4 linked regions of the Alligator mississippiensis genome follow. The protein of the gene in region 4 binds, or shares a complex with, the protein of the main gene of each other region. Links are inferred from orthologs where the notes say so. Each region holds a gene or a part of one and is shown on either strand. Other genes may lie near its edges. The genes, in order: TAF1B, TAF1C, POLR1H and TAF1A.

Region 1 (7,554 bases), about 150 Mb from region 4:
GAGAGGAGCTCTGGTCTCCTATGACAGCTAACAGTCTGCAACACACACACGTGTGAGCACATGGTATAGATGTGCATAAATACATGAGTATGCACAGTGTATTTATACGTACACACACAAGGTTTGTGTGCGTACACAAACTGTTTATATGTGTGCATACACACACGGTTTATACGTGTAAACAAGGTTCTTTGGGTAGATGTGATATCTTTCATTTGACCAACTAAATAGTTGGAAAATTTGTTCTTTGCAAGCTTTTGGACACAAACACCCTTCTTCAGGCATAGAGAGAGTCTTTTGGGTTATATGTGTACACACACAAACACATGAGGCTTATATACGTACGTACAAACACAGAGTATATGTACACACACGTGCGCATGTTTTATACATGTACTGTTGCCAACCTCGGCCATTTGCAAGGGGCCTAAGCCAAGCTAGAGAAGTACTGCAAAGCAGAAGGCCCCAAAGTCCATTTCTCAGTGATTGTCCTGTGAATCTTTGTAGATGTGAGAACGTCTGCAAATAAAGGAAGCCATTAAGCACAATTAAATAAAGCACAAACCCTGAAAGGAGATAAGGGAAGTCCGTGCATTAAATAGTCCATATACACTGTATCATAGCTTTATCTTAAAAATATTAGTAGTGACCAATGTAACCAAAAGTATTAGATGTTATTATTTTGCAGTAATAGATATATTTTTGTTAAGATGCTTAAATAATTTGTAAAAACAAAAACAGCTTTGTCAGAGAAGACCATAAACTAAGAAGAAACAGGTCAGCATTGAACAATATTCCACAATGGGAAGGAAAGGAGATAAGAAACCCGCCCTCTCTTTCCCAAGTATGTAAATCCTAACTAAACGACACCTTCTAAGTCCACAAGAGATGTGGTTCAGTCCAGTTCCAAAAGTTTCAGTGAAACAATAAATGTTTGTTTTCATGTTTTAGAGTGCAAGCAAATAAAAGGTTGGGCTGTAGACCTGTTCCTGTCTCCTTTATCAGTAGCTTACCCACAACGTTATCTGTTAACTGGGTAACAGTACACATACACACACACGGTTTATACATGCATATATACACACACACAGAGTTTATACATGTAAGCACACACACATACAAAGTGTGTGCACGTCCGCATGTGTGTGAGATCATCATAGGCCATCCCTCTCAGTTGCAAAGCTGTCTTGCGACCCAGTGCATCCACAGGTGGCAGATAGTGGAATGACCTTTAGGGAAGGTTAGCTCTGAAAGAAGCAGGGGTAACTCTGATGAATAAGCAGCTGCAGACCAAGCAGCAGCAGCACCACCAGGATGTGGTGGGGACAGCAGATGGCAATGTTCTCCCTCCTGAAAAGCCACATAAGACCTCTGATGGTGCTGTGACATGGCAAGTACAGGTCACTGCTATAATAAATCTGTCTAGCCCCCAGCCTTGGGTCTACAAGTCCTTAGCAGCAGAGCAGGCAGAAGATGTTAAAATCTCAGTGGCTGCGAGGGCAGATGAAGGCCACAGTGGAACAAGATCTCCAACTGTCTCGGCCTCCCAGCCGTTGGATCAAGGTCTCATTCTGTCAAGAACTCTGTGGAAGCTGATGTGCAGGAGCTTCTCCATAACAAAAGAAATCATGTACAGACATCTTCCATGAAAACGGCGATAGCACATTTTTCAGGCTTTTCAGCAACCTGCTAGCGATGACAGGAGCAGGATTGAGAGGCCTGGAAGCTCCTGGTCATGAACTGGCATGAAGGCAGCAGTTACAAGAAGATTTAAGCACTTGGACGAGGCAGGTGTGTGATTTGGAAGTCCTCGAGGCCAACTTGGAAGAAATGCAACACGGACATCAACTCGTGGGAGACCACTGCCCAGGACCATCCCAAATGGAGGAAGAGTCTGCTGCAAGTCTCTGTACTTTGAAACCTCACAACGACAACAGATGGAAAAGCGGGAGTGGCAGAAACAGCGTATGGTGGACTGAACCAAGAATCCAGAGCCACCCACTCCGCATGGAAACACGTGCCTGAGTTGCAATACACACATGCATGCACATGGTTTATGTGTGTACAGACACACACACACACAAGGCATGAGTGTATATATAATGATATGATATTATATACATATGCACACATGGAGTATATATAGCACAGGTATGTATGATGTATGTATATGTTTGTATATATGTGTTTATAAATGCACACAGAAACTATTTGTATACACCAACCAATGTGTGCATGTGTGTACGCATATGTAGATGCATATAGATACACACACACTCATGTGTGCAGTGTGTACACAGCACAAGTATATCTACACATATATATATTTAGATGTGTGTATGTGTATTACTTGTTCTACACACACAATTTGTGTGTATAGACACACACACAGTATATATGGATAGACTGACCAATGTGTATGTGTATACAGATACATACACACACTTGCGTGTGCAGTGTGTGTATAGCACAAGTATATATACACGTATAGTATATATTCAGATGTGTGTATGTGTATTACTTGCGCTACACACACACGATTAATATGTGTATAAACTGACCAATGTGTGCATCAGTGTGGGCATGTACCTGATACATGTGTTCCTGTCTCGAAACACACACAGTGTGTGTGTATAGCACAAGTATACACATATATATAGTATATACTGATGCGTGTATGTGCATTACTTGTGCTGCACACGTGCACAGTTATATTGATGTGTGTATGTGTATTACTTGTGCTGCACACACCCAGGGTGTGTGTGTATAGACGGGCTCACGTGCGCATGTGCAGAGAGGCACACACAAGCAGGCCCTAGCACAAGGCTGTCCCGGCCGGTCCCTTCCCGCAGCCGAGCCCGGCGCCCCCTCCCCTCCCCTCCCCTCCCGCTCCCCGCGCTCGGGCCCGAGCTCGGGCCCGGGCCCGGCGGCGCGCCCGCCCTCACCGTGTCCTCCTCGTCCATGGCCGCGGCGCCCCCGGCCGAGCTGCGCAGCTGCAGCGCGGCCCGCCCCGCGCCGGCCCCGAGCACTCGGGTTCCGGCCGCCGCGCGCGAGAGCAAAGCAGCGCACATCGCAGCACAGCACAGCACAGCAGCGCCGAGCGGCGCCTGGGCCCTGGGCAACAGAGTCGTTTTCAAGCGAGGGTTGAATCCTCCAGGGTTTAGAAATCAACCCCCACGAGACCGACCACTGAGAGTCACCCGGGAGATAAATGCTCAGGCATTCATGGAAATAAGTAGTGAATGTTGCATTTGATTTAGATAGTAGGCCGCTGGATTTTTAACATGCATTTGCCTTCATTAATGTCATTGCCTCATAAACCTCCGGGAGCAGATTCACAGAGAGCTGGCAATCCTACTTCAACCCTTATCTAGATGCTGCCCCAAACACCACGCCCGAGTGATGCACAGGCAGCTGGGTGGCCATTCCTCCGGTTTTGTATAGGACAGTCTGTTTTTCTGGTCCTCTATTGATATGAAACCCGATGCCTTTATGTCCTCTATTTTTCACTGCTTAGCACCATCCCCAGCCCACCACTGACACCACCGTGGCCACCTGTGAGAGCTCCCTGCTCGGCCTGCTCCCGACACTGCCACAGCTGCTTGCAGGAGCTCCCCACGCATCGCCCAACACGTCTCCACTGCCAACACGTCTCCACTGCCAACACCACCTATGGGAGCTCACCGTGCCCTCAGCCTTGGGAGGCACGCAAGGTTCATGGTGGTGGGGACATGGTGGGGGGGACTGGGGGGGGTTCATGGTGATGGCGGGGGGGGGGGGGGGGTTGTCCTCTGCTCTTGAGGTGCCTCAATGGCCATCCTATCCTTACCAGGGTGGATCTAGGATTTTGAAGGGTGGGGGGAGGGTGAAGGTGCATGGTTAGTCACATAGAATATGACAGGAAAGCTTCTTTGGGGAGATGTGATAACTTTTATTGGTTGGAAAAAAGTTCTTTTGATGCTTTCAGGCACAAGTATCTTTCTTCACTCAGGCATAGGGAGTCCCTGCTGTCCTGAGATCTGCAAGGAATGAAAGAAACTAAAAATGTGCCAGGATGTCAGTGAGAATGTAAATAGGTGGAAATTAAGGAAACAATGGGAAGTCAGGGGGAAATAATGCCAAAAGTAAATAAGGGAGACTCTACTCAAGGTAGAAAAGAGGCAGTCTGTGAAATAGCTGGAAATTAGGAAGACAAAGGGTAGAAAAGGAGGGGAGGGGAGGAAAAGGGAAAAAGAAAAGTGTAAATGTTAAGGTCTGGAGGTATCTGGTGAATCAGATGTCGGACAGGTTGTTAATGTGTGTCCATGACTTTTTGTATCCAGTAGGTTTGTGAAGTTTGTTCATGACACACATTTTTCTCCAGTTAAAAGAGACTAGAAACTTTCTTAACAGGCTTGGGACCTAAGCACTGTATTATTCAGTTCAAGATCAAAGTAAAAGCAAACATAACTTTATCAGCATGTGCCTGAATTTGCTAGATTATACATTAAGTTTAAAAGACAGCAGACACTAGGCCAAAAACAAAGATCCAGATAGTCAAAACAGATTGTTTCATTAGTCTGGAAGTTATTATAGTTAGACGTACATAGCATGCAGACTTGTAACAAAATCTAGTTTTCTTGAGTGTCTTGAGAGTGCTTCCAGTACTTCACCATCAGTCCTGAGTTAATATATCTCAGTTAAGGTTTTTAGGTAGAGCTAAAAAACAGTTTGCAGGGCAATGAGATAGAAGAGAGACTTTATCTGGAGCAAAATTCAGAAGAAAGGATACTTTGGATAGCAGAACATCAAGACCATTAAAAAGGAGAGTGGGTCCTTAACACCTATGGAATTAAGTGACATTAACAGGAATCAGATCATAGTGAGCCATGAAGTCAATTGACTCAGTGCTGCCTGAACAGAAATGCCATTGCCCCTCCTAAGCAGTTGGCTTTAAAGCTTGGGTAGAGCAGAAATCAAAGGGGAGAAAGTACAAATGTACCTCCCTTAATCCACCCTTGATTCTTACCAACAGCAAGGCCCAATGCATGAGCAAACCCATGTCCCAAATGCATCAGAAGTTGCAAGACATCACATAATAGAGAATTACAATAACTAACTGTAAAGGGGGAATTTCTTCCTACCCTCTCTTTGTGGTGGCCTTTGTTGCTAAGATCTTGGCCTTGAAACCTTGTGGGAGTAAGTCCCAACTTTTTATCAGTGTCAAATTTGTTGCTCTTGAAACGTCATGGGCTCAGTTTTATATCAGACCCTACAACAGGGCCTGCCTCTGAAACATTCTGTGCATCCTATATCCCTTAGCAGACATGGTCAATGCCTTAAAGAGCTTGCAAATTAATTTTAGACAAAATCCCAGTGACTTTTGCCATTGCTGTGTCCTGTCTAACCCTCACTGCCGGCTGACTGCAGCACTTCTTTGCCAGGGTGGCCTCCAGCCCCCAGGGGGAAAGGCAGGAATAAGACAAATTTGTGGGCAACCACCTGATTACCAAGTCCAGCTCAGGCAGCTGGTTCCTCCACCAGGTAGCTTTACTCCTCCCCTAACTTTGGGGACTGAGGTAGAGAGAAATCAGTGTTAGTAGTGCAGGGATCCCAGCCTGCAGAAGAGAGCAGCAGCAATTCCCAGAGAAGGTAGGTTGGGGGTGAGGAGAGTGGGAGGGAGGGAGAAATTCCTGGCAACAAGATTGACAGCTGCCCCTGGAGATCAAGAGTGGAGAAAAGGAGGGAGAGATGTGGGGTGTTTGAGAGAGAAGTTTATGAGGATAAGACTATAAGAAGAGAAATGGAAATTGGGCTTTGAGGGGTAAGTCCTGTGACCCCAGGAGAGCTAGACTTCCCAATAGCTGAGGGTGAAGGGAAGGAGGAAGAGATCTGGGCAAGAGCTGTGTCCTGTGGGAAATAAACTCCTGTTTGCATTTCATTTTTCCAGGAAGAGTCCTCACAGCTGTAGAGGAACCTCACCTTTAATGTTTTCCTTGGTGCCTCTCCATTTTCTTTACCAGGCTACCTCCGGAAGCATGGGAGTGGGAGAAGCAGGACAGGAATGACAGGTGTGAGATGATGAAGACAGGCTACCACATATACAAGGTGAGCAACAGTGCTTTTTTGTTGTTTGTATATAAAATAAATGTCAGGAGGCCTTGAGCTACCCCCCTGGACCTGCCACTGATTCATCTTGTGGTACAGTAAAATGTGGACAGTAATATTTACCTCAAAATTATGGGACTTAATTGGCAAAAAAAATCACTGAGGCTAAGAATTTAACAGGATTTAAAGAAGTTGGGCATTTTTGTGATGAAAAAATCCAGTTACATCAGTTAGGTTTAAAAAAAAGTGTTTGGAGGAGTTATAAGCCCTCTTGCTTCAGGTCGCAAGCTAAGTGATGGGACTCTGGACAGGTTATCCCAGAAATGTCCACTGCAGGGTTTTCTTACAGCTGCCACTAAAGCATCTGCTAGTGTCCTCTTTTGGTGATAGGGCACCAGTTCAATCCAACATGGCAGTTTCTGCAGCATAGGGGTATTGTAAGCATTCATGAATTACTCACTGTGCAGTCCTTTGAACATTTACACCAACACTTAAATGCTAAATGTATATTTTAATTGCAAGTTTTGAACTTGGAGGCAGAGGAGACTTGGTGTTATGGCGACAGGAGGGGTGTTCTGTGTGTAATGTGCGACAGGCCCTGCCTGGCTTACCTTGGCACTGCAGCCCAGGTGGCCAGGCCATGAACAGAGCAGCCAAGGGGAAGGAAGGACATGTGTGGATGCCAGGAATGAAGCTGGATGCACTCCTCACCCCCGGAAGCAACCCAACGCTTCCCCTGCTGGCCAGTGAGCCTGGGGAAGTGGAGCGTGCATGCTTCGGCCAGGAGGTAACTGGGAAAAACCCAGGTGCAGCTCCCACAGCCAGTTGTGAGCTGGTTATACTCTCTGGGACTGGATGACCCCAACAGACCCAGAGGAGCCCATCAGCCCACAGAGGATTGAGGCCCAGAGGCAACACCAAGCCTCTCAGTCCCCCTTATGGACAGCCTAACACTCTGACAAACTCACTCACTGTCACAGCGGAGGGACCACATGAGGAATTAAAGGAGAGGTGGGGATGGGAAAGTGCAACCCAGTGGGGACCCAAAAAGGGTGAGCCCTGGAGGGATGGCCCATGAACCTCATGCACCCCCACAGTGCGGCCATGCTTCTGAATGACGCCAACAGGGGACAGCCATGACATTCAGCCCTGAAAGGCCTGGCAGGGAATGCCCTGGGGTCCTGGTACATGTGGCCAACTAGCCAATTGGGAAGGACGAGGAGGGGAAAGGCCAAGTAGCCCGAAGGGGATGAAAAGTCCAGGGGGTGGCCCTCAACCCTCTGCACTCAAGATTGAGCAGCTCAGTGTGGGGGCAGTGGTTCCCTGCCCAATGCTCAGATTGAGCTCCTTTAAGATAAATTCTTCTTGTGTTGCCATGTTTTGGGGAAAGGAACAGAACTGCGGCATGGCACCTTTTCTTTGTCAAGCCATCACATGAAAAACAGAACCTGCAATGACATCAAGGCA
Region 2 (6,840 bases), on a different chromosome or scaffold from region 4:
GGGTTCTGGTTAGTCACAGCTGGGGAGAGCAGGCTGCCAGGGGTCTAGGAGCCAGGGGCTCAGGGAAGCAGGGGCAGCAAGATGGGGGCTGCCCCTACCCCCTGGCCCAAGCCAGGCGGGCAGCTGTCCCTGGGGATGGGCAGGGACCATCACTCACCCGCAGCCGTGCCTCCCCCAGATGGAAATTCTCCTGCAGTAGCTGGCCCATGGCCCCAAACGCGTCCTCAGGGTGGTCCAGGAAGAAGTGTGCCAGCTGCAGGGAGGGGCACAGGGTCAGGGGGCCCAAGCAGGGTCTGGCTAGCACACGGGAGTCCGGGGCAACCCAAGCAGGCAGCTGGGCACATGTAGTGTCTTCGTGGCCTCAGCCCCAGCTGAAGCCCCCTGCCCCCTCCTCCCAAACCTCGTTGCAGGGAGACACTGCGCAGAGCCTGGTGGGCAGAGCATGGCCATCCTGGATCCCCACGTGGGTGCGTGGGTCTGCTTGGATCCTCTGACACCCTCTCCTGCCCAGGGCAGCCCTGCTCCCCTTCCACCCCAGCGCCTTTCCCCAAGGAGGGCAGTGAGCTCAGTGGCCCTCTGCCCAGCCAGGCCTGGGGCTTTTGGGCTGGGCCCACAGGAGCGCTGAGACTTGCTGCTTTCCCAAAGACCCCCCTGCCAGGGCATGGGCCATGTGGTGGGCTACCGGAGGTGCTGGGTACAGCAGCCAGCCTGCAAGGACTCACCTGCCTGGTGAAGTCAAGGGCAGCTTCAGTCCTGCCTGCCTGGAGCTTCCTCCGAACCCGCCCCGGATAGAGGATGTCATGGGGGGTCACGGCCAGGACCCTGAAGCCTGCAGGTCAGAAGTGGGGGGGGAGAGAGAAGGACACGGACAGAGGACACGACAGGGGACGGGACACCAGGCCAGGCTGTCAGTGCAGTGCAAGCCCCCGGGCACAGGGAGGGGAGGGAGCCATGTAGCGCTGCTCAAGGAACCTCCAGCAATTGTGGGCAGAGGGATGGGCACGTGCACCCCCCAGGCCCTGGCAGTACCCGGGGATGGACTGCCCAGGGGAGCCCACAGGTCAGGAGCTAGTTCCTGCTGCTGGAGGGGATGAAGGCCAGGAGGACCCTGCCAGTCAGGGCCTTGTGCTCTGGCAATCTCTGGCTCTGCTGGCCTGGGGGTCGAGGCAGGATCTGAGCTCTCACCAGCGTTAGGAGGCAGAAGTGGCACCGCAACGGCATCAGCAGGTTCCCAGTTCTCGCCTTTCTCGCTGCGAAGCGGCACGAACCCCTGTAAGGGCAGGACAGATGGATCAGCACAGCTCCCTGCCCACTGCAGGGGGCACCTCTACCCTGGTCCCCAGCTGTCCCCAGCCCATCACGCTGCCCGGGGCTGCAGCTCCACTCCCCAACTGGGTCAGGGCCCTCCACTGGGCCTGCACTCCCTCCCCACTTAAGGTTAACGCTAACGGTCCAAGGGGCTGCCCCTCGGGAGGAATCATCACAAGCACAGTGACAAACTGGGTGACTCCTGGCTGGACGGCAGTGCCAAGGAGGATTGTGGGGGGGAACTCGATAGATCAGACTCGATATGAGCCTGCAGCATGGTGCAGCTGCACAAAAGAGCACTGTGATTTGGGCTGTCACGCGTATTAGGTGCAAGACACAGGAGGTGATGGTGCTTCTCTGCTCGGCCCTGGTCAGGCCTCCTCTGGATAACGGCTGCAGTGCTGGGCTCCACATTTTAAAAGGGAAGTGGAGAAGTGAGAGAGGGGCAGAAGCAATGCTCAAGGGCTTGGAAGGCAAGTCCTAAGAGAGGCAGAAGGAGCTGGGCATGTTCAGCTTGCATAAAAGCTGCTTCAGAGGGGACACGAGAGCAGCCTGCAAACACCTGAAGAGCTGCCTCGCAGGAGAGGGAAAGCAGCTTCTCTCTTGGCTTGAAATTGCAGCAAAGTAAATTTAGACTGGATCTCAGAGAAAACTTCTTCCTAGTCGGAGCGGGGGAACAGGTGCCCAGGGAGGCTGCGGCTGCTCCAGCACTGGAGGTGCCCTCGCAGGGGTTGGGCAGCCACTGGTCGCGAGCGAGCTGGGAACAGCAATGCCCACAGCGCTGGGGGGCACAAGAGCCAACGGGGCCGCCACACGAGTTGCTGGGACACCGTGGGCCGAGGGCTGCAGCCCAGGGCAGGGGGCGCGCACTCCCTGCGGGGCTGTGCTCAGCAGGAGAACGAAGCGACGCTCACAGCCAGACAGGAGAGGAAGGGACACTGGAGGAGCTGGCGGGCAAGCTTTTTTGGGTAATGTGTTATCTTTTATTACATCAACTGAGTAGCTAGGAAAACGAGCTCTCTGCAAGCTTTCGGGCACAAGCACGCGTCTTTGGGCACAGGGAGTCGCTGCTGTTGGGAGACCTCCAAGGAAGGAAAGAAGCTGAACGTGTGACAGGAGGTCAGTGAGAAGGTACACGGGCAGAAGCGAGGAAACCACAGGGGAAGAAGGAAGAGGAGGGGGACAATGGCAAAGGCGAGAACCCTGCAGTGCAGAGCGGCTGGGACACGCAAGAGCAGAAGGGACAAGAGGAAGGGGTCGCGAGCCGGGCGGGGCCCAGGGTGCAGGGCAGAGCAGGGATGCGGCCGCCCCGGGCTCCGCCGGAGGCCAGGCTGCCGGGAAGGGAACTGCCCTCCTGCCGGTCCCGCGTCGGGGCTTCCCTGCCACCGGGGCGCTGCGTGCAGGTGGGGGCGGCCCTGCCCCCGCCCCGCTGGGCAGGAAAGATTTCCTCCGGTCGGACTGGTCTGCACTGGCGCGCCCGGGCCCGGGCCCGGGCCGGGCCGGGGTTTGCGGGGCCTCCCCCGGGGCAGGCTCGGGGCTGGCGGGGCCGGACGGACACTCACCTGCCGCGGCTCCGCGCCAGCCCCCAGCACCGGTCCGCGCCCGCCCCAGCCGAGCAGCGCGGGGCAGGGCGGCTCGCGGCTGGGGGGCCCGGCGCGGTGCGGCCCCGGGAACAGCGGCGCCGGGAACTGCATCGCGCCACGTGCGCCCGCCCCGCCGCTACAATGTAGCCCCCGAGCGGCCGCCGACCAATCAACGCCCGCCGCCCATAGAGCGCCCGGCCAGAGCGCCGCGCCGCGCGGAAGGGGCTCGGAAGTGCGGCGCGGCAGCGCCCCCTGGCGGACGGCAGCGTCGGAGCCGGCGTGCGCTTTAGCTCCCAGGGGGCCGGGCCGGGCTGCCCTCTCGGGGGGGGGAGGGGCGTGGGGCGGCTGTGGGTGTCTCCCACGGGGGGGGTGTGGGGCGGCTGCGGGTGCCCCCTCGGGGAGGGCGGCTGCGGGTGTCTCCCGCGGGGGGGGGCGTGGGGTGGCTGCGGGTGCCCCCTCGGGGGGGGCTGCGAGTGCCCCCGCGGGGGGGGTGTGGGGCGGCTGCGGGTGCATCCCGGGGGGCGTGGGGTGGCTGCGGGTGCCTCCCGCAGGGGGGCATGGGGCGGCTGCGGGTGCCCCCTCGGGGGAGGGGGCATGGGGTGGCTGGGGGTGCTTCCCGGGGCGTGGGGTGGCTGGGGGTGCCCCCCCGGGGGGGGGTGCAGGGCCAGTTGGGGGTGCCTCCCCAGGGGGCTGGGGGGCAGCTGGGGGTGCCCCCCCAGCGGCTGTGGTGCCCCCCTACATCCCAGGGCAGGGCAAGCTGCTCCAGGTCCCTCATCCAGACAAGAGCCCCTGGGGGGGCAGTGGTTGGTGCCCTGCACGGCAGGAAGTGGGCCCTGGCCCTCCCCCACGCAGGACGGCCTGTACCCTGGAGCTGGGCCAGGGTGCTGGGGTGTGGAAAGGCTCCGGGAAGCTGAGGAGGAGTTTCAGGTCAAGAACAGTATTGGAGCCAAGAACACATGGGGAAAACCTGCGAGGGGCACAGACAGGCCCAGGGCCCCTGCACCCCGTGCCTCCCGCCCCCGGCGCACGCGGCAGCAGGGTGCAGCCAAGCCAGGAGCTCCCCTTGCCCGGGAGCGACCACTGCCCTCCCCGCACCCTCGCAGCTTGTGGTGGGGCTCAGTGAAGGCCTGGTGCTCCCGCTTCCTCCAGCTGTGACGAATGCTGCCGGCAACGTGTTCAGGTTCTAGGACAAGCCACTACGGACATCTGCGGATCCTATCACAGATGTCACCCAAACCCTGCACTTCTTGCACGGTTCCCAAACCTGCCTGACAATGGCTTTCCATGCCTGCGGTTTGGCCTGGCCTTCGGCTGTGGCTTCACCTGCTGCTTCCCCAAGCCCAAGGAAGGCCACGTGCCCAAAAGCTCGTCCCACGCAAGCTCTCCCTCACCACAAAGCCTGTCTGGGCGATGCTTGTGGTCTGGCACAGGCATTAGCACACGTGCTCCTTGCTTCCACCCTGGATGGCGTCCACAGCGGGGGTCTAGAGCTCTGAAGAGGGGTGCAGGGGCCTGGTGCATCAACGTAGCACACCGTTTTCTCCCAGTAAAGAGAAGCAATGGGTGCTGACGTGCTGGGGCCCAGGGCTACCTTACCAAGCTTAAGATCAAAGCAAAACAAAATGCAGTGTTAGTGGCACATAGGGGAGCGGGCTGGATTGTATGTTACATTTAGGAAGTGCGGCCAGCTGGGCAAAGATAACATTGTGTTGTGATTGTTCCAGTCAGAGCAGTGACATGCACTCCCCTTCCTGATCCTTAATACAAAAGCCCCAGGCATGTGTTACTGAGCTTGACTCTGGCCAGGGATATCTCACACCTGGCAACAGGCCCTTTTTCCTTTCCCTTTCCAACCTGGCAACTGTTTCTGACAAACAAGTTACCAGCCAAGCACAGTCATACAGAAAGTGACAGCAACCAGGAGTGACCCCTCCATGGACTTCCAGTAAGAGGAACAGCCTACATCCAGAGGCCTGGAAGGGCCAGCAGGGTCCTGTAACCCCACTTCCCAGTCCCCCCAATTGTGCCAGGAGCTGTCCCAGCTGCAGGGCTCCAGTCCCTGCATGCAACAGTTGTGGGCCAGTCAGACCTGGGTGCTGTGCTGCAGCTGGCAGCATTGTCCTTCTCTGTTGCTCCCCCAGATCCTCCTCGGGGACCCTCCCCAGGGCAGCACTCCTTCCCCAGTGCTCAGCAGCACTTAGCATCATCCTTCTCTGTCACTCCCTCAAATCCTCAGGGCACCCTCCCTGGGGCCACACTCCTTCTCCAACTCTCAGCAGCAGAGACTGCCCCAGTCCAGCTGTGGGTGCAGGGACACGGCTCCCCCCAGCCCCTGTGGGCCCAGGAGTTCCCTGCCTCCAGCACTCTCACCTGGAGGCTCCTCTCAGGCAGGAGTCACCCAGGCACCAAATAAACCTTGTTGAATGTGAAGTGTCCCAGGCGCATGGGTCACTTCTGGATGATGCCGTGGGGTGTCGCTGGCTGTGGCGCAGGCAGGCACATGGTGCTGGGCTGGGTGCAGGGGAGCCGGTGGGAGCGAGGCCTGCAGCACCTGGTGGAGCAGGACTGATGGGGTCTCGTGTCTGTAGCCATAGACACAAGGGGCATGGCCCCAGCTCATTCTCGGTCCCCTTCCTGGAGGCCTCCTGGCGCACAGCCTGGGGGCTGCATCCACATCTGCACACGTGCCAGCGCTCCCTGCAGCAGGGCGCTCAGCGCCAGGGAGCATCCAGCATCTCTCCCAGCTGCAGCCCAGCTAAGAGGCATCAAACAAACCAGGGCAGGTTCGGCCCTCGCCTCCCTGGCTGGGCCAACACGGAGCAGCCCAAAGCCCAGCCCAGGCCCTGCCCACACTTAGCTCTGCCCCTCGTGCACCCTCTCCCAGAGCAGCCTCCACACCCGTGAGCCTGCCCCCTCTACCACCTTGCTCTCCCTCAGCTGCCCCACCACAGACACCTTTGCCCAGGGCCCATCCCTACTCACAGATGCCACCCTCAGACTACGATCAGCCCACCCAGAGAAGACCCTGCCCCCAGACCCCCATGCACAGGCCTCCAAGCCTCACAGCACAGGTGGTCCAGCAGCACAGCTGAAAGCTGCTTCAGCCCAAGACCCCCAGGGAAAGGACCCTCCCCGGGCCGACAGTGCCCATGGGGCCTCTGCCCCCAGCTCCGTGCTCAGCTGCCCACTCTGCTGTTCCAAGGTGCTCCTGTCCCTGTCCCTGTCCCTGGCCTTGCTGTGGGGGCAACAGGTTCTGCCCCAGGGCTTCCTGAATTGTTCTTCCTAAGTGACCACCAGATACACATGGTCTTTGCCTTATGGGCTAATTGCATGGCTATGTTCGTCCACTGCACCATGCCCCGTGCCTCGCCAGGGGCATCCTCATGGCTGTTCTCTTTCAGTTAACCCCCTTCTGGGGCGTTCACCGAGAGCCCAGAGAGTGACAGCCCTGAGGGCTTCTCCCACAGTGCTCAGTGACATGTCCCTTTCCTTACACACCAGGCCAGGCAGTGCACTGCTGGGCGGCCTCTGCCACGGCCCGGACATGGTGGATCCTTGCACCGCCTTGTGAGACCTGCTTCCCATGACACAGCCTTTCCCATCTGGGGCTCATAGAGGCAATCCTCATCATTTCCCCACAAGCATTTTCCGCAGGCATCAGAGCAGTCCCAGTCTGTCCCCGAAGGGCTTCCCGCAGAGGCCTTGCTTGTGGTGACAGCGGGAGCAAAGATGGCTCCTCCTCTCCGCATGGCCCCTCATCCAGCCAATGAGCGACAGGCAGGAGCAGTTCTGGTCCTAGGACCTGCTTGTGAGAGAGGGGCTGGCAGAGCTGCTGGGCAGAGGGGCCGTCTGCGGCAGGCTGCTGCAACCAGTGTGGGGCAGGACAGGCCCTTCCTGCCAGCACTGAAGGCTGGAGTCAGGTGGCAAAGGCCCACGGTGGCATGGGAGT
Region 3 (7,277 bases), on a different chromosome or scaffold from region 4:
TTAGCTTCAATTTATTGATAGATAAAATATGTGAGGTCTCGTCTACGTGGTGCATTTTCTCCATGGTGCAGAAACAGATTATTAGGGTGGCACTTGTAAGTGCATCAGTAAGTTCTGCCCCTCAGTGCAGCACTGTCCTGTGCTGAGCAGATAAACCCTTTGGCTATGCCCAGATGAAAGCGGCTGTGTGGTAGGTGGCACTGCAGACATCTGCATGCCACATACGGCACGTTTAATTGTTCTCCGCACTGCAAGGGAGCAGTGTGGAGGGTTTTTTTGACCATGAGTCAAAAAAATCTGCGGAGCAAAAAGGTAGAGCAGTGCACGCAGGGGTAGTGCACTTCGCTTAGAAGTGGAGATGGGCTGCCCGGAGCCACGCTGCAGCTGCCGGCCAGAATCACTGTTCCTGCAGTCCTCGGAGGCCCCCAGGAAAGACTGCTGGGGACAGCCCAATGCAGGCCCCAGCCTCCCCTACCACCCCTAGGTAACTCGCGACACAACACAGGCATTCCTTGGGGACAACTAGCAGTGGTGCAAGGCGTGCTGCTGCTGCTAGTTGTGCCCCTGCTAGTTGTTCCTGGGGAGACAAACGTCCACATCATGCATGGACGCAGCCTTTGAGGCCCATCTTGTCCTTGATAGGTTGGTCCTTGGTTGCTCTGAAGGCAAAATTTTTAGGACTGGTGCAAATCTCCCCACAGAGGCTTAAAGAATCTGCAGGTGGGGTGGCAAACTGGTCTCTTGATTATTCACTGTAGCTGAGAAAGTACATAGGAAGCAGTGATCCCGCCAGTCTGCAGAGACGCTGTGCCAGTCAGCTCAGATGTCGCATTCAGATACGAACTGCCTCCCTTCATCTTGGTGGGTTCAATCTCAGATGCCAATGACAGATCATTCTATGGTAATTATGTCCACCATTCCCAAAGCATGGAAGAAAGAGGAGGAGGAGGAAGAGGAGGAGAAGGACTGTGCCATGAACCCACTATTTCCCAGTGGGGAAAAGCAGGGAATGCAAACCTCTGGCTGGAATGGGGAGGAAGGGAGCAGAAGGCTAAATTAAGGTGTCTCCACTGTGGGCTTGCTTTGGACCATTTGCCTCATTCCAAATTCAACTTTCAAAAGGGTAAGAAATGCTGTCTTCTAGGTCGGCATTTCTCAACCCATGGGTCGTGACCCAAAAGTGGGTCACATGAATATATGAAAGGGTTGTAAACAAACTTTTAAAATGGATTCTCCTTTGAAGGAGCAAAACGTGGGGAACTATGGCTTTTCCCTTGCAAGCTGGCAGAGTTCCAGCCTGCAAGAGGCTGCCTGGGGCCCCCCCGTGCCCCACACCCACTCACTCCGTGCCCCACACACTGGGGGACTGGGCATCAATGTTTAAAAATGGGTCCTGGTACAAAAAAGGTTGAGAACGCAAGTTCTAGGTGACCAGTGATGTTCACTGGTCACCAAAAAACCTTCAAAGAGAGAATAAATATCTTGCTGTTTACACAATGAGAAGATATTATTAAATTTGGCCTCGAAATTCTTTCACTGAAATGTCACAGGGCTCCTATACAGACATGTGGAGCCTGCTCCAATGCACTGGAAAGCCAGCGTGTCAGAGCAGACTTAGTTCACTGAGTCTGCTGGAACACAAAAATCGACGTGCTCCAGCAGCCTCCCGTGCCACGTGCATCAGCATCGCTATGTCTCCATGCTGAAAAAATGGTGGCTGAGTGGTCTGAATAAAAGCACGTTTGATAAGCTGTCATTAAAAGCGCCCTGCCATTTTTTCAGAGTAGCGATGCATGGTGATGTTGATACATGCAATGCACAGACACTTTTAATTAGCATGGCTTGCTAATTAAAGCACCCAGCATTGCATCCCACAACGTGTGTAAAAATGCCCACGGTTTCTGGTGAAAATCTGAATCTCAGCTTTGACTGATGAAACAACTAAAATCCAGGCTGCTCCAGGACAAAGCTGCTACTCCACGGACTGCAACTTTCCTTTCCTCTTCCCTTCCCCCACCTCCCATAAAAGACACCCACGAATGGCTCCTTACTTGCACTCAGCACAGGTGTAAAACACAGTCTGCCCTTCGTCTGCCGACCTCATTTGCCGGGTGTGATACACCATGCCCTCGTGGCCACACTGGGGGCACTTCCGGTCGATCTGAAATCCCAAGGAATCAATTGTCAGCTTTCCCGACTAGAGAAGAAGTAGTATTTCCTCTCTACTCGGTGCTGGCGAGCCCCCAGCTGGAGCCCTGGGCCCCGTTCTGGGCACCGCGCGTCAAACAGGACGCGGAGAATCTTGACCGGGCGCAGAGAGGGGCCACGGGAACCACGACGGGCCTGGGGCGCCGGGGCGGTAAGACTCGCTCTTTTGAGGTCCCTTCTGGCTCTTAATTTCTGGGATTTCCTGCCTGAGGGAGGCCAATAAGTGAGGTGGTAGGTCTCAACTCACACCCCTCCTGGTGCCATCAATCTGAAAGGGTCACCAGAGCCGAGGCAGGCTCCCAGGGTTACGGGGCAGACGTCACCGGCGCGCTGAGGCCCCTCCGCACGGGGCGATAACCTGCGGGACTCCCCGCCGCAGGACGCTGCCGCACCGCCCGCCCGCAGAGACCCCCACTCACCACGGGGCCCTTCACCTCCTGCCCATCGCCCCCCGCCGGCACAGCCGTGGCCCCGGGCCTGTGAAACTCCACGGATGACTGCACCAGGCGGCCTTCAAAGTCTGCAGGGGGGAAAGGTCATTAAACAACTGTGGGGTGGGAGGGGGAGGGGGACACGACACAGGTTGGGGGAAGGGGCCGAGCAGCCCCGGGCCCGGCCCACCTCGCACGGCGATGGCGAAGTCGCAGCACACGCAGGTGACGCGGTCCTGCACGCCGGGCAGGGGCAGCACCGTGCCGCACTCCGGGCAGAAGTCCGGGCCCGCGCGGAAGGCGGACGGCGCCGGCTCCATGGCGCACGCGCGCCGCCGCCGCGCTCGGAGCAGGCAACTCCCGGTCCGCCAGAGCACTAGAGCTGCAAAGGAAGCGCGCGCGACAGAGCGTCTCCATCCAGAGCAGCGGCTTTCCTTTCCCTTCCTTTCCGGTCCAGCTCTAGTGTCCTCCTCCACTTTCCCCTCCCCTCCAGTTCCGGCTCATCTCGCTCCGCGGTGCGCTGCTCACCCTCTCGGTGTGCGCTGGAGTCTCCAGGGATTAGCTAGTTAATTAATTAGCTCATTAGTCACCCCGTGGGGCATGGCCTCCAAGTGGGTCGCAAGAGTCTATTATTATATCTATTTATAACATCTACTATTCTATTATATCTATTTATTATATCTATTATTTTATATATGAATAAGTGACACTTTCACAATGGAGTCTCCTTTAAAGGAGAAAAACAAGGGAAGCCGGGGCTTTCCCCTGGCAGGCGGGCACAGCTCCAGGCTGGGGGGGGGGGCGGTGCTTGCAGCCACCTGCCCCACCGCACAGACTGGGGGCTGGGGCCTGGGGCCGCGGGGAGGGAGGGACAGGGGCCATTGAAGTTGATGTTTACAAACAGGTCCTGGTACAACAAAGGTTGAGAACCACAGGTCCAGGAGCCGGCTGAGAGCCCCCGAGGAGATAAATGCTATGGGGCAGTTTGTGAAGTCATTTCCCCAAGGGAAAAGGCGGGAAATACTATCACGTGGGGCACTTAAATTTAGGAAGGGGCAAGGACGGGGAAAGAAAACCTTAGAAGCAAATATGCTGCACTGAATCAAGAGTTGACCTTGCACCATAGAGCCAAGAGAAAGGAATAAATAATAAATGTTGAATCTGATATATGCAGTAGTCCAGTGGGTTTTTAAAATGTAAGAGGAAAGTGCATTTGCCTTCCTGACCATGAACGATGTGCCCTGCGGAGGCTGGGGGGCACGGCAAGCTCCTGCAGGTGGTAGCGGCGGCGCTGTTGGCGGCAGGAGGGTGGCAGAGGCGGGTGTGCAGCTCCCGCAGGCAGCCGCAGCGTTGTCAGCAGCAGGGAGCAGGAGACGCCGACCAGTGTTCAACCACCCGCAGACACCGTCGGCAGCAGCCAGCAGCGATTGCAGACCTCCCATAGATGCCGCTGGTTGTCAGCAGCGAGGGTGGGGGGATGGCGAGCAGCGACCAACAGCAGGCTTTTCACAGGGGGTGCACTGCCACGCTCAGGGGATGCACGTGCACCCGTGTGCACGCCCTACGCATTGCTGATGTTTCTGGCGTAAAGTCTATGCGCTGTAATCCATAACTGATCAACGCAAACGCACAGGCATGTTTGCATTGTGTGTCGCAGGCACACTGGTGTTCCAGAAACCTGAATTGATTCAAACACAGTTGGCAGCCCTGCATGTTGGCACATGGTGACCAGCTGTCAGCCGCCATGGTCTGGGTCTAGGGCAGTGGTTTTCAACCTGAGGTCTGCAAATGCCTTGGGGGCGGCAGACTGTCTAAGGCAGGAGTGTCCAACCTTTTTGAATGTGGGGCCGGATCATGAACATTTTATCATCCAGTGGGCCAGTGAGCCATATTCAAAGACCTCACAGGAAGTGACATCACATCAGGAAGTGATGTCACGTGACCTTTGACACCAATGAAGTTGCAGGAATTAACAATGAAATGGGTGTGCTCCGCATGGGAACTTACCCCGTGCCTCCGTCCGCCCTGGCCTGGCCCCGAGGCGCCCCCAGTTCCACGCGGGAACTTACCCCGTGCCTCCGTCCGCCCCAGCCCGGCCCCGAGGCGCCCCCAGTTCCATGCAGGAACTTACTCTGTTCCTCCGTCCACCCCAGCCTGGCCCTGAGGCGCCTCCAGCTCTGCGCAGGAACTTACCTCGTGCCTCCTTCCGCCATGCATGCGGGCAGGGTGTGGACCATGCTGCAGCTCCCCAGGCCACATGCCGGGGGCAAGGGGCGGAGCCCACCCCCAGCTCATCCAATCAGGCGCGGCTGGGGCAGCCCCACTCCGTGCAGCCCTCGGGGCAGCTGCAGCAGGACCCGGCTCACTGATGAGCTGGGCCCTGCGGGGGTAAGCAGCTCCCCTCCCCTCACTGCCGGCTGGGGCCTGCGGGCCGGCCCTGCCCTGCCCTGCCCTTCCCGCCTCGCTGCTGCCCCGACGCGGCGGCTCTGTGCTTCGCCGCCGCCGCAGCTCTGCGCTCCACCACTGCGGCTCTGCGCTCCGTGGCAGCAGTGGTGGCAGTGCTGCCGCCGCTGCGGGCCAGATAAAATGGCTTGGCGGGCCGCATGGTGACCCGCAGGCCGTATGTTGGACGAGCCTGGTCTAAGGGGTACACAAAAAATGACTGATCAATCAACCACATGTGAATACACACATGTACAGGTCAAAGTGGTTCACATGTCCGTTCAAAATATTTTAGGCATCTGCAAATGAAAAAAAGGTTGAAAACCACTGGCCTAGGAGCCCATGAAGGTGTGTGTGCAAGGCTTAGTCTACACCAGACCAGTCCTGTGAGCTGGATGTCTCTGGGTACAGCTCTGCTGAGGGACGGGGACCCCTGATGCCAGAGCACCTCTTGCTGAAGGGATGTGATGCCACAAACAGCAAAATAAGCCCTTCTGCTGCCATGTGTCTCCACTAATGTCTCTGACACCTTGGAGATGCTGAGCCAGCTGTGGCAGCACCTGGCCTGTGATGTAGGGGATCTCTCTGTCCTCGTACCTTTCTTATTGAACAAGTATCTAGATTCTAGAGTCTCTGTAGCTGTTTTGAATGGCAGCGTGTGAAACAGCACCCTGTGACTCTTCATTTCCAAATGAGGCAGTTGACGTTTCTGCAAGGGAGGGATACTGGAAACAGGCAGAATTGATTTTACCCATCCAGTTTTTGTCAACTGAAAATCTGTCACATGGTTTGCTTCCTTGCTACATGTCACCTTCACTATTACTGTCACCTGAGAAGTAGGTGATTAATCCTGTGCCTGATTGAGAAGCCCTGACAGGAGGGTGAGGTGCTAGACCTACTCGCCTGTCACTCTGATCCAGGGTGAGTATCTCTCAATCGCAGACCCCCTTATATGAGCCCAGGACTGCACTTGGCATCACCTGGAATGACTTCAGGGTCCATCAAATAAAGTGATCCAACCTCTGCTTGTGGCAAAGGAGATCCAGGGCCAAGAGCCCTCTGCAAAGTCAGGCCATCACATCAGGGCCCCTTGTTGGACAGTCCTTGTTGCAGCATGCTGGGCTCTAGTGTAGTTCTTCTCCCAACTGGGGGATGCAGTGGTGGGGGACTCTGAGTTTTATTGGGATTGCTTATTATTTGTGACAAGCCCCCCTGCAGATCTGACGGGCCAAAAATAATTTTTCTGTCTGTGGCGGGGAACACATGGGGGAGCCAAAATGGGGAGATAGTGGCATCTCTTCCTACAGAGAAAAATAGCCAATGTTATGGTCAGATACATTTGCTTCATGGATTGGCTGGCCAATAATAAGGAGCCTATCTTGGGGTCAGGGACCCAGAGGCCTAAAGGCTGAGTGAGTTAAGTCAAGGCTGAGAGGGTGAGGCCACAGGTAATGAAAGCAGCCTGGCCTGTGGTCAGGGACCCAGAGAGCTAAGGGCTGAATGAGTCGGCCAAGGCTGAGAGGGCCAAGACCAGAGGGAGAGCAGTGCAGCTTGGGTTTGGGGACTCAAAGGGCTGATGGGTGGCCCAGAGTGTGAGAGTTGGCAGGGGCCCAGGGCCCAGAGTGCACAAGGTAGGGGCCCAGGGCACTAGACCTGGACTGAAAGGTGCATCCAGAATAAACGGGGCAAGGCCGGGAAGGCTGAGTCTTTGACAAAAGTCTGGGGCCCGAAGGCCAAAAGTTGGGTTGGGGATAGGGGGCCCTTCCAAACGAACATCAAGTAACATCTGTGAGGCATAGGAGTGGCTACAGGGGAGGAAGGAGGCCATGAATATAGCTGATAAGGCAGTTGGTGCCCTGAGGCACTGATAGGGTGGCCATCAGAGAGGACATTCCAGTTTTCTGCTACTCTGTCCTCTATTGATATGAAACCCAATGCCTTTATGTCCTCTATTTTTCTTTTCAAGAGAAAAACAGAGGACATAAAAGCATCTGGTTTTGTATCAATACAGGACTGAAGACAACCGGACTGTCCTTTATGATGGCCACCCTAGGCACTGATAGGGTCAGAGGGCCATAATGTAGTGCTCAGGGGTGCAAGACTGGGGCCAGCCAGATACAAGAGGTACCAGCTGGCTCAGTTGGGGACTCTTGGGTATCTCCCTTAATTTCATAATAGTTCTGTCAAGGCTTGGGG
Region 4 (7,360 bases):
CTGTTAATCCCCAGTCTGGACAATGCCTGCAGACACTGGAGAGGCACCTCCTCTCTGCTGCCACAGGGAACAGTGCCAGTGCTGGTTGGGTCCTAGTAGCCACTCATCCACCTGCCTGCCTCTGACTCCAACTGGGCCAATCCAGACCAAAGCCTTAAAAGGCTGCTGCTACATTAGACAACTCCCCTGCTCCCAAGCTGCTCCACATTACCTGAATAAAACCCCTTAACTGCTAGCAACTACAGGGTCTAGTTTTGTGTGGTCTGCTACCCGATACTTGTGCAACAGAACTGTGGTTGCTTATATGCAGGGTGCAGTTTTGTGCCCCCTCTGCCAGGGACATGCATGAGTTGTACTGAACTGCTAAACTTTGTTCTATATCTCTACTGTTTTATATGCTAGAGGTTTGTTTTCCAAATGTATTGGTTGGTATGGATACCTAGAGAGTAATCAAAAGAGCACACACCAACTGCTGAAGCTTCCTTAGCCTGACGAAGGGTTTTTGAACCCGAAAGCTTGCTTAATAACTATTCTCCAACCATTTGGATTGGTCTAATAAAAGATATCAAATTCACCCAAGGAACCTTGTCTGCCTATGTCCTTAGACCAACACAGCTACAACCTAAACCCCAAAACCTCTCTAATGCACACATGTTCTTGTAAAGCTTTGAGGTTTCTTTTTAACAAATAAGACATAAGTATGGATCATGAACTACTTCAAATGCCCTTTTAAATTATTTCCATCAACAGCAAGTGAATTCTGGTAACAGCCTCTTTTTATCTTACCTCTGGAGCAGTTTTCCGTTTACTCACTGTACTTGTTTCCAATATCTCCAAGTAGCTAATCATGAACTCTGCAGCCCTCTGCCACTGGTTCTGCAACAGGGCATCTTGAATGTAGTTTAAACAAGCTTCCTTTGTTTTCTGAAATTCTGTTTCCTTTGGACCCCTAGTTACTAAAAAAAAAAAAATAGGATTAACAAATAAGAGAGGGTAACAATGTAACTATCACTTTACTACCTTTAGCTTTGTCCAGGGCAAACTCTGCCAAAGGAGATGAAAAAGACAGAAACCATGCTTCAAAATGCAACTTCAAATATTTCCTAAAACACAGTGGATTTCTCCTCTGAGCCCATCTCCTCTCTTATTTAAGGTCTACATTGCAAGATATTGTACTATGATCACCTAGAAACCTCAACCAAGAGAACTTCTTTCAGCTAAGTATAACTGTGTTAAGAAGCAGTGCTCACCTAAAGAACTGAAAATGCAAGTAGCTGGTACAAACAAATTAAAAACTCTTATTTAAGCAGATTGTAAACTGAAGCAGAGATGGGGAGAATTTGTTCCTATACTATGACTAAGCTCGAAGAAAACTTGCAGCTTCCCTACGCAAGGGCTCCAAGAGGCTGGTTAGGCCCCTGCCCAAACTGAATCGTTGTTGCTGCAGCCCATATAGAACCTGTGGCAGTTAAAGTCTGAATGGTGTGCCTCCTGAATGCACCAATGTTTTCTGATGAGGAAGCGCAAAACTGATAGACCCACGTAGTAGAGTTTGTTCCTCCTCCTACACTATGAGCACTACATATGAAACTATTAAAGGACCACGGCTAAACAGGACAGATTTCCCACATGAACTGCATAACCACAGTGTATTGTGGTCTATAGTTGTATTCAAAGACTGTGTTTTCATCTGCTTTGAAATAACAGACCAGCCTCATGTGCCAGAGCCAACACATCCCCCAGACCAGCTCTGTGCAGTGTACACCAACTTCATGGGTGACTGGTGCCTCCCGATACTAGGGAGGCACCAGCAGCCGACTGCTGACTAGGGGAGGAGGGGGTCCCCAGCATGTGCTAGCGCCAGCTCTATCAAGTTCCTAGGTCTTGAACCAGCCCCATGTTCATGTGTGGAGCCAGTCTGGTGCGCAGGGCCAGTCCGAGATGAGCGCTGAATGCAGTACGCATGTTGGACCAGCCCAGTGTTTTGGATCCAGAGCAGCAGAGGTGCCACATGCAATGCATGCCAGACCAGCTCCATGCACGCAGCAATGTCCAGACAACGTGTGCTGCACACAGAGCTGACCCGAGCAGAGCTGACTGGGGCAAATCTGCCCATGCAGGGCTGCGCCCCCACTCTGATTCCCCTGGACCTGAAAAAGCATGGGGGGGGGGGGGGGAGGTGTGCTAGTGAGTGCCTGGACATCGCCTCTGCAAAAAAAACCTGGGCTGCCCATCATGATGCCCTAATAAAATCCCTAGGTTATGATCCCCCGCTCCCTTCCCCAGATTATGATTTTCAAATTTTACAGGGGGCTCTTGCCTGTTATGGGGAGGGGGGGGGGGGTCTCAGCCCCCCAAGCTCCCTTGTAATTCAAACCCTGGTGCACACACCTGCGGGTCCACACACGTGCAGGTCCATGTGTATATATACCTGTACATGTGTGTGCAGGCATGTGCCAAATCAAGGAGCACCATGAGGCAGGGCTGGTTTGTACCTTTGGGCCCAACCCATTCAGTACCACTTACCTGGGTGATGGAGCAAGCACGGGAGCAGGGGCAGGTGGATGCTCGGGGCCAGGCTGCCCCACTCCTCCCTCGGGGCCGGCTGCTCCACGAAGCCGTCCATGCCCTCGGCAGCGGGGAGGAGGAGAATGAACCAGTCCCGCACCCCGCCCGGCCGGAAGTGGCGCGGTCCCACAGGACGCGACTGGCCCACTAGAAGCGGGAGACCATGTTTGTTCCTGGCGAGAGACCTCAAAGTACCTATCATGTGACCCACGCCCTTATTTACCAACTACGTCTTTAAATTAATCCGGGCACCGACATCAAGTGGCTTTACCGTTATCAAGAGCAAAGTCAGTTAGCTCTGAAAAAAAGGAAGCAAAGCTTTCTTCAGCAGTGCCTCGGAGCCACCTTCAGAATGACCTTCGACCTCGCCAGAGGGATAGTGCAGCCGGGGAAGAGACGCGAGGTGCTCATGCACTGTTTTCTCAGAAGTCGGCATCTAGCGTTGTGGCAGGGGCGTGTCGTGGAGCCAATCCGGTCATGTGACCGGACCCTGGTCTCGCTGCTTGTTCCCTGCGAGAGCTGAGGTGACTCTCAGTGCGCAGGCGCGGGTTTCCGGTCATACCATCCTCCCACCCCTGGAACCCGATCCTGCGCCCCCAGCTGCAGCTATGGGTCGGCTTGTGCCGCGGGCTCCAAGGCCGAGGCTCGGTCTGATCTGGTCTGCACACCGAGGAGATAGCAATTATTATTATTATTATTATTGATATAATAATAATATAATTATTGTAGCATGCTTATAATTCATATTATATTAATATAACAAGTACTATTGTATATAATAATATATACCATTACTGTTATTGTCGTTCTAATCGTCATTATTATTGTGGTTGTTATTCATATGAATTATATTGATATTAATGTGATTGATATTAATATTATTCTTATTAGCCATAATAAGGAAATAAATCGTATTAGTCAATAGTAAGTGATCATATGCTTAATAGTAATATACTTGTGGTCCTAATTATTATAGCAATAATGATTAGTATTATAGCAATAATAATAATGCTATTAACATCACAGTGATGGTTCCTAAATACTGCTCATCAATAATATAAAGACCAGTGAAATGTCGAGTAGTCAACATACAGCAGCAGCTTGGAGCTGAATAGCTAAGAGCACAGTACAGGGGAAGTAAGTCCCCCACTGTGAAAATACATGCATGCTTATAGACTTTGGACCTATGTAGGGTTGCCAACCCTCTAGGAGTGCCCTGGAGTCTCCAGGGATTAGATATAAATCTCCAGGAGGCTACTGGAAGCCCCCCAGGAGATAAATGACAGGGCATTCATTAAAATAAATATTAAATGTTGAATCCGATTTACATGGTAGTCCAGTTTTTAAAATGTAATAGTAATTTGCATTTGCCTTCCTGACATGAAGTCTATGTAACTGATACATGGAAGCAGGTAGGCACATCCGTGTTGTGTTGCCAGCATGTTGGCATTCCGGAAACCTCTTGGAATAGATTCAGAGTTGGCAACCCTACACCTGTGAATAGTGCTGCCAGCTACTTTGGAGGCATGTGTTGAGTAAATGCATAAGTATTTACAAAATCAGGGCCATAGATGCATGGCAGACATGCAGCTTGATCCAGTAAAAGCTGTCACCTATAACAATTCTTGCCTCTTACTTCTCTCACCTGTTTCTACTTCTCTCACTAGGTCTTGTCTTACCTGCTTTTTTCCTGGTCCTCTCTACCTGACTTGCATAGGTCAGAATTACTTTTGAAAGAAGAGAATAAAATTGACTAAGGGTACTTGCAAAATGATGTGTGAATATGTTTGGAGGCCACAGGTCAGGAGTGTAGGAATCTAAAGGAATGGTATAGCAGGAAGATTTTTTTTTAAAGCTGTCTTGTAGTTTTTGAGTAAAAAAAGCAATTTTTACAAAGGTAGCTTTGACCCTTGAAGGATCCATGTTTTTTTGTTTTGTTTTGTTTTTTAGAATGTGATAATAGATTGAAAAGGCAGTAACTTGTTCTGTTACTGCAATACACAGCAGAGGGGACTAGCCAAAGAGCATCAACATCTCTGCGATACACTTGCTCGTGTTTGGAATGGAGCTGAATGGAGGAGAGGCAAGGAAAGAAGTGGATTGAAATGAGAGGCAGTTTTGGTGGTCTTGTCTAGGACTGAAATGGTGAGGGTCTGGGTGTGGGAGGAGTTGGGTGGGGTTTGTGCATGAGGTGTGGAAATGATAGATGGTTTCTGGATCTGTGTGAGGAGTAGAACAAGGATGTTGTACACTGAGAGGGCCACTGTGCAAATATGAATAGTCAAGGAGGAGCAGCAGGAAGATGGTCTGCGGACACATGTAAGGAACAGAATAGGGACTCACCTGTTATCCCCTTTGACCTGAGTCATTAGCCAACATTCAGGGTACAGTAGGTGGTTTCCATAATAGGAAATTTTGGTTGGAAGGGACCTCGGGAAGTCATCTACTCCAGCCCCTAGTCCTCAAAGCAGGACCGTCCCCAGTTAGATCGTTCCAGCCAGGGCTTTGTTAAGCCAGAGCTGAAAAACCTCCAAGGATGGAGATTCCACAACCTCTCTAGGTCATTTGTTCAAGTGCTTCACCACCCTCCCAGCGACAGAGTTTTTCCTGATATCAAACCCAAATTTCCCATGCTGCAACTTGAGACCATTGCTCCTTGTTCTGTCATCTGCCAACAGAACAGTCTAGCTTCATCCTCTTTGGAACCACCCCTGAGGTAGTAAAAGGCTGCTATCAAATCCCCCCTCAGTCTTCTCTTTTGAAGACTAAATAAATCTAGTTCCCTCAACCTCTCCTCAGAAGTCATGTGCCCCAGCCCCCAAACCACTTTCATTGTTATCTGCTGGACGCTCTCCAACTTGTCCACATCCTTTCTATAGTGGGGGGCTGAAAACAACATGGTATTTCAGATGTGACCTCACCAGTGCTGACTAGAGGAAAAGAATCGCTTCCCTCGATCTGCTGGCAATGCTTTTACTAATGCAGCCCAGTACAGGTTTCCCTCGCTTTATGCTATACGTACGTTCCTGGAAAAGGGTGCATAACTCAAATTTGCATAAAATGAACCCACTTTACAATATAATAAATAAGGATACTTTCCAAGACCTCAATTATACTGACCTCCAGACCCATTTCTACTACTTTTACAAGACAATTTTGGTACTCGCCAACAGCAGACAGTATATACAACCACAGGGTGATAGTGAATGTTACCATAATGAGGATGGCAACTACAGAAACACAGGGTGCAGACAATGAGCAAGGAGCATAGATATTTTGGTGCATGTCACTCCCACAACACACTGCACAAAGCAGCTGACTGTGGGCTTCCACCACACCGATCGCATAAGAGTGAATTTACCTTGCGTATAACAAATTTTGGTATAAAAAGGATCATCACGTAAGAGCGAATTTGCACATACAGAACCAACATAAAGCGAGGGAAACCTGTATGCTGTTAGCCTTCTGGGCAACAAGGGCACGCTGCTGACTCATAGTTAGTGTCCACTATAGTTCGTGTCCACTATAACCCCTGGTCCTTTTCTGCAAAGCTGCTGCTTAGCCACTGTCCCCAGGCTGTAGCAGTGCATGGGATTCTTCTGTCCTAAGTGCAGGACTTTGTACTTGTCCTTATTTTGAACCTCATGAGATTAATTTTGGCTCAATCCTCCAATTTCTCTAGGTCCGTGGTTCCCAACTTTTGTTTGCCATGACCCGCAGCTGTAGTGGAGTGCAGTGGCGGCAGCAGCCCAAGGGCAGGGTGATGGAGCTCCCAGCACATGACATGGCTTGTCCTTTGTGTGCAGCGCTGCCGGCATTGGCCCCACAACCCTCATTTGGGTCGTGGCCCAAGGTTGGGAACCGCTGGTCTAGGTCACCCTGAATCCTAGCCCTACCCTCCAATTTATCTACTACACCCCCCCAGCTTGGTGTCATCTGCAAACTTGCTGAGGGTGCAATCCATCCCATCTTTCAGATTGTTGATGAAGATATCAAACAAACTTAGCGCCAGGGAGTTAGGGCACTCCACTTGATACTAAGCCATTGATTACTACTCGTTGAACCCGACAATCCAGCTAGCTTTCTATCCACCTTACAGTCCATTCAACCCATACTTCCTCAGCTTGCTTTCAAGAATGCTGTGGGAGACAGTATCAAAAGCCTTGCTAAAGTCAAGATATATTACATCCCCAGCTTTCTCTGCATCCACAGAACCAATTATCTCATCACAGAAGGCAATCGGGTTGGTCTGACTTGCCTTTGGTGAATCTGTGCTTTCTGTTCCTAATCACCTTCTTCTTCAAGTGCTTAGACATGGATTCTTTGAGGACCTGCTCCATGATTTTCCCAGGGCCTGAGGTGAGGATGACTGGTCTGTAGTTCCCTGGATCCTCCTTCTTCCCTTTCTTAAAGATGGGCAGTATATTTGCCCTTTTCCAATTGTCTGGGACCTCCCCCACTCGTCACGAGTTTTCAAAGATAATGGCCAGTGTCTCTGCAATCACATCGGCCAGCTCCCTCAGCACCCGCGGATGCATTGCATCCAGCCCTATAGACTTGTACACGTCCAGCTTTGCTAAACAGCCCCTAGCTTGTTCTTTCACCATTGAGGGCTGCTCACCTTCTGTCCAAACTGTGCTGCCTGGTGCAGTAGTCTGGGAGCTGACCTGGCCTGTGAAGACCAAGGTAAAAAGGCACTGAGTACTTCAGCCTTTTCCTCATCTGTCCCTAGGTTGCCTCCCCCATTCACTAAGGGACCCACACTTTCCCTGACCTTCCTCTTGTTGCTAAC

The links.
Region 1: TAF1A (region 4) and TAF1B share a complex: the UniProt entries of both Homo sapiens proteins name them as parts of the transcription factor SL1/TIF-IB complex. The link is inferred for Alligator mississippiensis from reciprocal best matches to the Homo sapiens genes TAF1A and TAF1B.
Region 2: TAF1A (region 4) and TAF1C share a complex: the UniProt entries of both Homo sapiens proteins name them as parts of the transcription factor SL1/TIF-IB complex. The link is inferred for Alligator mississippiensis from reciprocal best matches to the Homo sapiens genes TAF1A and TAF1C.
Region 3: TAF1A (region 4) and POLR1H share a complex: the UniProt entries of both Homo sapiens proteins name them as parts of the pol I pre-initiation complex. The link is inferred for Alligator mississippiensis from reciprocal best matches to the Homo sapiens genes TAF1A and POLR1H.

Annotation. Positions count from the first base shown.
Region 1 is NC_081824.1:30,788,688-30,796,241, forward strand, and holds the start of TAF1B (TATA box-binding protein-associated factor RNA polymerase I subunit B), read right to left. Parts: upstream 3,021-7,554; 5' UTR 2,964-3,020; coding exon 2,946-2,963; intron 1-2,945. UniProt on the Homo sapiens protein: Component of RNA polymerase I core factor complex that acts as a GTF2B/TFIIB-like factor and plays a key role in multiple steps during transcription initiation such as pre-initiation complex (PIC) assembly and postpolymerase recruitment events in polymerase I (Pol I) transcription.
Region 2 is NC_081826.1:303,255,584-303,262,423, forward strand, and holds the start of TAF1C (TATA box-binding protein-associated factor RNA polymerase I subunit C), read right to left. Parts: upstream 3,018-6,840; 5' UTR 3,003-3,017; coding exon 2,871-3,002; intron 1,271-2,870; coding exon 1,186-1,270; intron 830-1,185; coding exon 723-829; intron 254-722; coding exon 158-253; intron 138-157; exon of another isoform or gene 1-137. UniProt on the Homo sapiens protein: Component of the transcription factor SL1/TIF-IB complex, which is involved in the assembly of the PIC (pre-initiation complex) during RNA polymerase I-dependent transcription.
Region 3 is NC_081834.1:54,008,910-54,016,186, forward strand, and holds the start of POLR1H (DNA-directed RNA polymerase I subunit RPA12), read right to left. Parts: upstream 3,003-7,277; 5' UTR 2,960-3,002; coding exon 2,830-2,959; intron 2,729-2,829; coding exon 2,628-2,728; intron 2,162-2,627; coding exon 2,052-2,161; intron 1-2,051. UniProt on the Homo sapiens protein: Core component of RNA polymerase I (Pol I), a DNA-dependent RNA polymerase which synthesizes ribosomal RNA precursors using the four ribonucleoside triphosphates as substrates. Can mediate Pol I proofreading of the nascent RNA transcript.
Region 4 is NC_081824.1:182,344,717-182,352,076, reverse strand, and holds the start of TAF1A (TATA box-binding protein-associated factor RNA polymerase I subunit A), read right to left. Parts: upstream 3,017-7,360; 5' UTR 2,771-3,016; coding exon 2,527-2,770; intron 957-2,526; coding exon 787-956; intron 1-786. UniProt on the Homo sapiens protein: Component of the transcription factor SL1/TIF-IB complex, which is involved in the assembly of the PIC (pre-initiation complex) during RNA polymerase I-dependent transcription.